2 linked regions of the Caenorhabditis elegans genome follow. The protein of the gene in region 1 purifies or fractionates together with the protein of each later gene. This does not show direct contact. Each region holds a gene or a part of one and is shown in the gene's direction. Other genes may lie near its edges.

What was found. Proteins that work in one complex are often made in the same cells at the same time.
Region 2: the proteins of dnj-1 (region 1) and twk-37 fractionate together in Caenorhabditis elegans (co-fractionation; one large-scale study listed by BioGRID). This does not show direct contact.

What each region holds. Positions count from the first base shown.
Region 1 is NC_003282.8:11,297,038-11,300,796, forward strand, and holds the start of dnj-1 (DnaJ homolog subfamily B member 1), read left to right. Parts: upstream 1-1,998; 5' UTR 1,999-2,005; coding exon 2,006-2,071; intron 2,072-2,121; coding exon 2,122-2,194; intron 2,195-2,918; coding exon 2,919-3,317; intron 3,318-3,759. Other genes in the region: B0035.15 (uncharacterized protein), read right to left, coding at 52-210, 269-331, 391-474, 517-631, 676-852, 902-1,053, 1,110-1,211.
Region 2 is NC_003279.8:6,269,701-6,273,459, reverse strand, and holds the start of twk-37 (Potassium channel domain-containing protein), read left to right. Parts: upstream 1-1,926; 5' UTR 1,927-1,949; coding exon 1,950-1,978; intron 1,979-2,024; coding exon 2,025-2,084; intron 2,085-2,404; coding exon 2,405-2,589; intron 2,590-2,637; coding exon 2,638-2,732; intron 2,733-2,787; coding exon 2,788-2,874; intron 2,875-2,952; coding exon 2,953-3,082; intron 3,083-3,197; coding exon 3,198-3,363; intron 3,364-3,445; coding exon 3,446-3,704; intron 3,705-3,759. Other genes in the region: C10G11.8 (AAA+ ATPase domain-containing protein), read left to right, coding at 279-1,181, 1,223-1,447.

The sequences.
Region 1 (3,759 bases):
AAAAACAACTAAATCTACCTAGAAACCAATAACTCATACAAATTATGATGACTATTTTTCCTTTTTCTCTTCTACAGCCTTCTTCATAGCTTCTTGTGCAGTTTTCTCAATTTCTCCTAATTGACCCAAACGTTTATTCAGTCGTTCATGTTCTTCTTGGCGTAGCTGGGCAATTGCTTCTCGGACCTTATCCTTTTCTTCGTCTTCGAGCTGAAAAAAATTGTAATAATTTTTAAGATGAAGAGGTTATTGGGAAAAGCGAACTAACTCGTTGATATTCGTCCAGGAATTTCGTATTGTTACTGATATGGCGAATCTTTTTTCCGACATCCTGAAAATTAGAAGCTTTTAATTTCTTTCAGTTTTCAAGATCAATTCGATTGTTCTTACCTTTGCCTCGTCTAAAATTCGTCTTTCATCTGAATTTCCTTGTACATGATCTTGAAGAGCTGCAAGGGCATGACGATTGACAACCTGAACTAATAAAATATTTTTCAAAAATTTAATTCGAACAACTTTTTGTTTATCCTTTCTCTCAAATGGTCGAAAATATTCATAAATGTCATCTAATGTTTCTGCATTTACACGAGAAGTAACAACATGATCAGCAACAAATTCAGCGGCTTGCTTTCTGAATGAATGTTTTAGACTAATCATTAAAAACATGAATTCTACTTTTGTGCTGGTGAACTTGAATCGGAAAGTAGCTCTTGGCGGAATCGAAGATATTCTAGCGCTTCTTTGAACATCAATTTATCTTTCGGAATTCTTTCAACGGGCGGCTCGTAGAACCCATATTCCCAGATGGGATCATTCCGATGGAGAAATTCCGATTCACGAGTGGGAAGATCTCTGAATTTTATTTTTATAAAAATCAAATGCAATTTGAAACTAAACTCACTTCGTAGATGTCCATCTTTCAACTGGATCAGTTGATTTGATGTACATTTTATTCATATTTTCCACCAAACTTTCATTTTTCATCGCTAATTCTTTTTTGATTTCTTCGCTAACTTCTCGTGATTTTTCAGTTGGATATTTTGGTGGGACGACCTGAAAATTTAGAAGTTATTAAGTTAATATTTTAAAAATTATTTTTGTACTCTTACTTTTGTTTCCCCTTTTTCAATTTTCGCTACTTCTTCTACAGACTTTTTGAGATAATTCGCATTCTTCACACCAGACCCAACCTTTTTCCAAAGTCGTTTCATCTGAAAATTGTAATGACAGCAGAGAGTTTCGTCCAGAAGTGAATAGGGAAATTAATAAAAAGGATCGCAAAAATTCGGGGTACGGTACTTCTTTAAAGGTACAGCACCCGAATTTATTTTTGGGTTTCGCAACGAGTTTCGTCATGCAACTTTTATCGATTTTTTTCGCAGAATTAGCGACACGTTTTCTTATTTCTAATCCAGAAATTTCTTATTTAATTTAACCAAAATTTTGCATCATGGAGGAAATATGTGTTTTTAATATAATGCTTCAAATTCTTTACTCAAAGTTCTTTGCGAAAAAATGATTATTAGTTTTAATCCGTTTCACTGACTGAAATTTATGAACCCAAAGTGTTTAACACCCGAAATTTATTAAATTTGAAATAAATATATTTTATAAATAGAAACAAAAATAAGCAATGACGCTCCACCGCAATAGCTGCCACCGATCAATAATTGAAAGTTAGTCACTCACTGCTTCTTGGGCTACGTTGGCTACTCGCCTGCTCGTTTCTCTGCGACACTTCACTTTTTATGCTCTCTCGCTTCTCGGACAAATATCTTTTTTCTGCAAGACTAGGAACAGACATTTCGATGGCTCATTATTGGTTCCAAAAGCTTTCTATTTTAAATTCAATTTAAACCAATGTTTTTAAATTTTAATTCTATCTAGTTCGAAGTTCTTGGTTTTCTTCTTATTTTTAAACGTTATCGTTATCATGAGATCTCTTTTCTGTTGTTCTCGTTAACTGAAACAGTCAATAATCTATTTTTATTGGTTCAGCCCAAAAATGACAGCAGACGCCAATAAAAGCGAATCACTGTTGTGTATGGATAAAGCTCGAGAGGCTATTAAAGTGAGTTTTGTGATTGTTCAGCATTTCAGTTAATAAATTATGTATTTTAGTCTGGTGACACCGATAAAGCAAGGAGAATGCTGTTGAAGGCGAAAAAGTTGGATCCTGGTCAAAATATTGAATGTAAGATTTCTTTTCAGATGTAGAGCAGCGTGAATGTGAGATTTTGCTTTAAAATGCTAAAAATAGACTGAACATCAGAAATATAAAATAACAAGAACGAAAAAATCGCGAAAGTATGAAAAATCTAACTATTAAAAATTAGATTTTTCAATTTTCGCTAAAACCAATATGGATTTATCCTTTCACACTTTTTTTCGTTTCTTTTTTGTGGTATTTCCGAATTTCAGACTGTTTTGAGTATTTTCCCCTTTTCCGCTGCTCCATCTTTAAATTTCTGCACAAACTCTGTAACTTGAAAGATTTGAAAGTTGATGCACATGCCCGTATTCTGAAAAAATCTGTGTTTATTTAATTTTCCATGCAAAAAAATTGAAATCAATTTCCAATTTCCGTTCACACAAACGTCTGTTTTTCGTTTCTTCGGCAAAAAAAACCGAAGTGAAACCAAAATGACCATTACGAAGAGATACAAGATACATCATTGAAGGACCCGTTTATTACAACCCACTTGGTGAGAGAAACGATTTCTTTCACTCTCTACGCCTATCAAAAATAAGAAAAAGCAGGAACCTTTGTGCAAGAAACGTTGAGACGTGAGACATGTAATTTGAGAGTTTTGTTCTTACTCAACAGTTGTAAAGGTTATAGATAAACTTTGAAAAATCTTGAAAAAAGTCGCTGAAAATTTAATTAAAATAATTTTAAAAAAAAACACTATTTTCAGTTCTAACGAAAAAGATAGATGATATGACAAACAACACATCATCATCTTCCCAAACATCTTCATCACGTGCTTCAGAAGAACGTAGTTATGCTCACGACGATCACTATGATGACCCAAACTTAAGGAATCGAAAAGCTAGAAGTCCTGTAAAAAAGAATGGAAAAACAGAACCAGAACCAAAACAACGATCTGCATCAAGAACACCTAAACTTGGCGTTGATTATACCAGTGAACAAAAAGAATTGGTCGAGAGAATTCGTCATTGCAAGGATTATTACGAAATTCTTAAAATTGACAAGAAGGCGAGCGATGATGATATTCGTAAAGAATATCGAAAATTGGCGTTGAAGTTACATCCGGACAAGTGTAGAGCTCCACACGCTACGGAGGCGTTCAAGGGTAATTTTTTACAGTTTTAATTTGAAAATTATAAAAGACCGAATTATTTTTGAATTCCCGCTCAAATTAATGGCCTAGTTTTGACATTTTTGGTTTTCCGGTTTAATTAATTGCTGATCTTCTTTCTTGTGGTTCACATTAAAACAACGCTAGTGATAATTTTAATTAATGTTAAAATATTGATTTTATGGCCAATTTTTGAGTTTCTGCGAATTTTTACGTTTCCTTATGTTACAAATCATGAAACAAAGAGATATAAAATAATACAGCCGAAAATGCAAAATTTTCTGCAAAGTTAATAAAATTGAAAAATGTTTTAAATTTTTAAAAAATCAAATTTGGTATTCTGGGACCATTTTCCGCGATTTCGGGCAAAAAATCACCCTGAACTATAATTTATCTATCTTATGCCATCTTTCAATAAAATTTTTCTATAAATATT
Region 2 (3,759 bases), on another chromosome or scaffold:
TGTGAAAACTAAATTATCAGTTCATCCCTAGAAAGCAAAGAGTTCATCCCTAGAGAGCAAAGATGCGGAATTTATCTAACTCGAGGTCTTTAACACTTCATAAAGCCATAGCTTGTAGTAAATGTAGTTTGCAATCTATGACGTCATCATTACACGAACTTCAAATCGTTGTAGGGTTGGAGTAGTAGGATAGACGTAGAGAATTTTGTTTTGTTTATGTCAGTTGCGTAGGGATCCTATGACTGCAGTTAAATGGTTAACAGTTGTTTTCATTACAGAAAGAGTTCATCACTCGTCAAACAAGCCGTCATGGTCGCCCTCTTGCTGTCCAAAAACGTCGTGAACAGCAATTAGTTCAAAGTCTCCGAGGAACTCCAACCACATTGGCTCGTGTCCACGAGCTTTTCGATGATGAGAAGCATGCCGTTGTGGTCGTTGAAGGTTCGAGACGTGAATGGTACGTACCAATTCTCTCGATCGTCGACAAGGACTTGCTTCGTCTGAATGCCCTCGTCATGGTGAAGGCTGGTGGAATGTTCAAAACAGTTCCAAGTGCAATCGTTGGAGTTTTGGATGACAAGATTGACAGCAATGCGATGGGACATAAAGTTGAGAAGACACCAAAAGAGACATTCGATGACATTGGAGGATGTGAGAGTCAAATTCAAGAGCTGAAAGAGTCTGTGGAACTTCCTCTTACTCATCCAGAGTACTATGAAGAAATGGGAATCACTGCTCCGAAAGGAGTTATTCTTTACGGTGAACCTGGAACTGGAAAGACGCTTTTGGCGAAAGCAGTTGCAAACTCAACATCTGCAACATTCATCCGTGCAACTGGATCCGATCTTGTTCAGAAACAAAGTGGGGAAGGTGCTCGTCTTGTTCGTCAAATCTTCCAAATGGCAAAGGAACAGGCTCCATCGATTGTATTCATTGATGAAATTGATGCAGTTGGTACGAAAAGATTTGATACTTCTTCACGTGGAGAACAAGAAGTTCAACGAACTCTTCTTGAGCTCTTAAATCAATTGGACGGGTTTGAAAGCCGTGGAGATGTCAAAATTATCATGGCAACGAACAGAATCGACTCGCTGGATCCCGCTCTTATCCGTCCTGGACGAATTGATAGAAAGATTGAGTTACCAAAACCAGATGAGAAGACTAGACAAAAGATTTTCACGGTTAGTCAATTCAACATTTCTTAAATAATTTTTATTTTTAGATCCACACCTCTGGAATGACGATTCAGAAAGCTGTCACCTATGAGAATGTATTGGGAAAGGAGAAGAGCATTAGTGGAGCTGAAATCAAGGCGGTTTGCACGGAAGCTGGTATGCTGGCTCTTCGTGCTCAACGAAAATGTGTCGGAACGGATGACTTTGAGAAGGCTGTCAAATCGGTTATGCTGTCGAAGAAGGGCGGAGCACCAGAAGGATTCTTCTCTTGACAATCGGAAATTCAATAAAGTACAAACGAGTTTACCCTAATGAACCTTTCTTCTCTTACAATGCCAGTGCAGATGTTTTTATGAACATCTGTAGTTAATTTCTTTGGTCTTTCTATGACCATAGACTGTTTGTTTTCGTAGTTTCTTTCCCTTCCAGAGCCTCAATTTGAAGAATTATGTTAACTTGATCCGAGGCGTTTTGAATACCGATCTCGAGTATAAATATTTTATTGTTTCAATGTGTTACTGTTTAACACAAGATGAGATTTGTCGTATACACTCAAATAGATACAAAAATAAATATCCAAATTTGTTTAAAAAATTTCAAACTCATTGAGCTCGCCAAGTTTCTTGAAAAAATTGTTTACGTACAGTTTTAAAAATTATAAAATTATTAAATACCACCATAACCAAGAAACGTGATATTTTCTGAGATGGCCAAAACTATTAAAAATCGATTTTTTAAAAGTCAGTTCTAATTTTTGGAGTCAATATCGTCCCAATGGTAGCATCAAATAGAAGACAATCGAGGTTTGCAGAATCATTGTTTTCATCTAAAAAAAACTACATTTTTCAGTTCAGATTCAATACCTTCAAATCAAAAATCACACAGCTCTAACCATCACACTTCTAATAGGTGAGTATAACTACAATCCACAGAAGAAAATTAGTTTGTAACCCACATGCTCGACATTTCGCTCCGTGCGATTGAAAGCTGGGAAATCGCGAAAATCTGCGACGATCTACGATAGCATGCGAAGAAATGCGCGGAAAATTCGAAACTAGGGGTAACCCGCAAAGATGTGCGACAATGTGCGAGAAAAAGCTGAAGCAAAATGTCGAGTTTCTGTATTATCTACACCAGGAAAATATAAAGACGACAGAATAGCTGTCAAATCTTCTCAAACAATACCCACTGCTTCACCACTGTCAATCCAAACTGCAATAGTCTTTCAGCGATGGAATGCAAACTCACACGGATCGACTTATTAATAAATTTATAAAGAGGCAAATGGAAAAATCTTCACCAGAAACTCAACATCTTGTCAGAAAGCAATCTATTTTAAAATTTGTTGAACGAAAGTCTAGAGCGGAAAGACCGAAGCCAACGAAATTACGAACAATTTTGAGAAAGATTCGAAGTGAGGATTTGGTTTATATTCTGCTTAAAGTAATGTTTCAAATTTCAGAATTTAATACAATAATTGCATTTGTGGTTCTTGTTGCATATATAATTGGTGGAGCTCTCTTGTTTTGGCAGATTGAATCGAGATCTGATATGAATGTTTGTAAAGCTTTTGTTTCTGTTGCAGATATATATTCATTGATAATATTTTCAGATTAATGAGTTCAAAAGAAATATTCGTCAGAAATCAATACACATCTACAATTCAATGAAAGGTAGCAAGTGTGGAAAATTGAAAAAGGTTTGTGAAAGTATTTCTGCATCTCTTTCAATTGAGCATACCCGGAAAACGCCTCGATACAATTTTCATCTATTTCAGGCAGATAATGAGTTGAACAACAATTGTATAAAAGAAATTTTTGACCTACTCTACGCTTCAAACCCTCCAAAGCATATAGAAGAGTTTCTGGATGGGCTGGCTTATGTAATCACTTGTATTACGACAATAGGTATGACTCGGGATTAACAAGTAAAATAGTATCAAAACTGATTTCGAACATTTTGAAAAATATTTTTAAAATTTTCTCCCGAGGTGTCGTCTAATCATTCTATTTTCTATTTCAGGGTACGGCGAACTTGTCTGTCACACAATTGCCGGTAAATTGGTTACTGTAGCTTATGGTATTATAGGAATTGCTCTAACACTCTACGTACTTCGCAACAATGGAAAAATAACGTTGAAAATATGCAATTTGACACTCAAAATTTTTGCAATTTGCGTTCGAAAATGGTAATTTAACATTTAAACATAAATAACCTCTTCTCAACTTTCCATATAAAATCTTTATTTGAGTTCATTATTTAGTTTTCAGTGGCAAAAAGTCGGCAAAGTATAAGATGACAGTACTGAAAGCTTTTATTCTTCTTGTCACATTTTGGGGCTTCGGAGCACTTGCAATTGCTGTCTATGAGGAGTTTGTATTCTATGATGCCTTGTACTTTTCTTTCAGTACATTTTCAACTATTGGATTTGGAGATTTTGTTCCGTCAGGTCATATCTCTGGAACTATTATTTGTGTATTACACTTTATCGATTTATCACTGATTTCAATGGTTTTAGTTCTCGTTCATGTAAGCTGTGAAGATTCCCTTGTAAGAAACCAAGTGTCTAAAGTTTACAAATTTC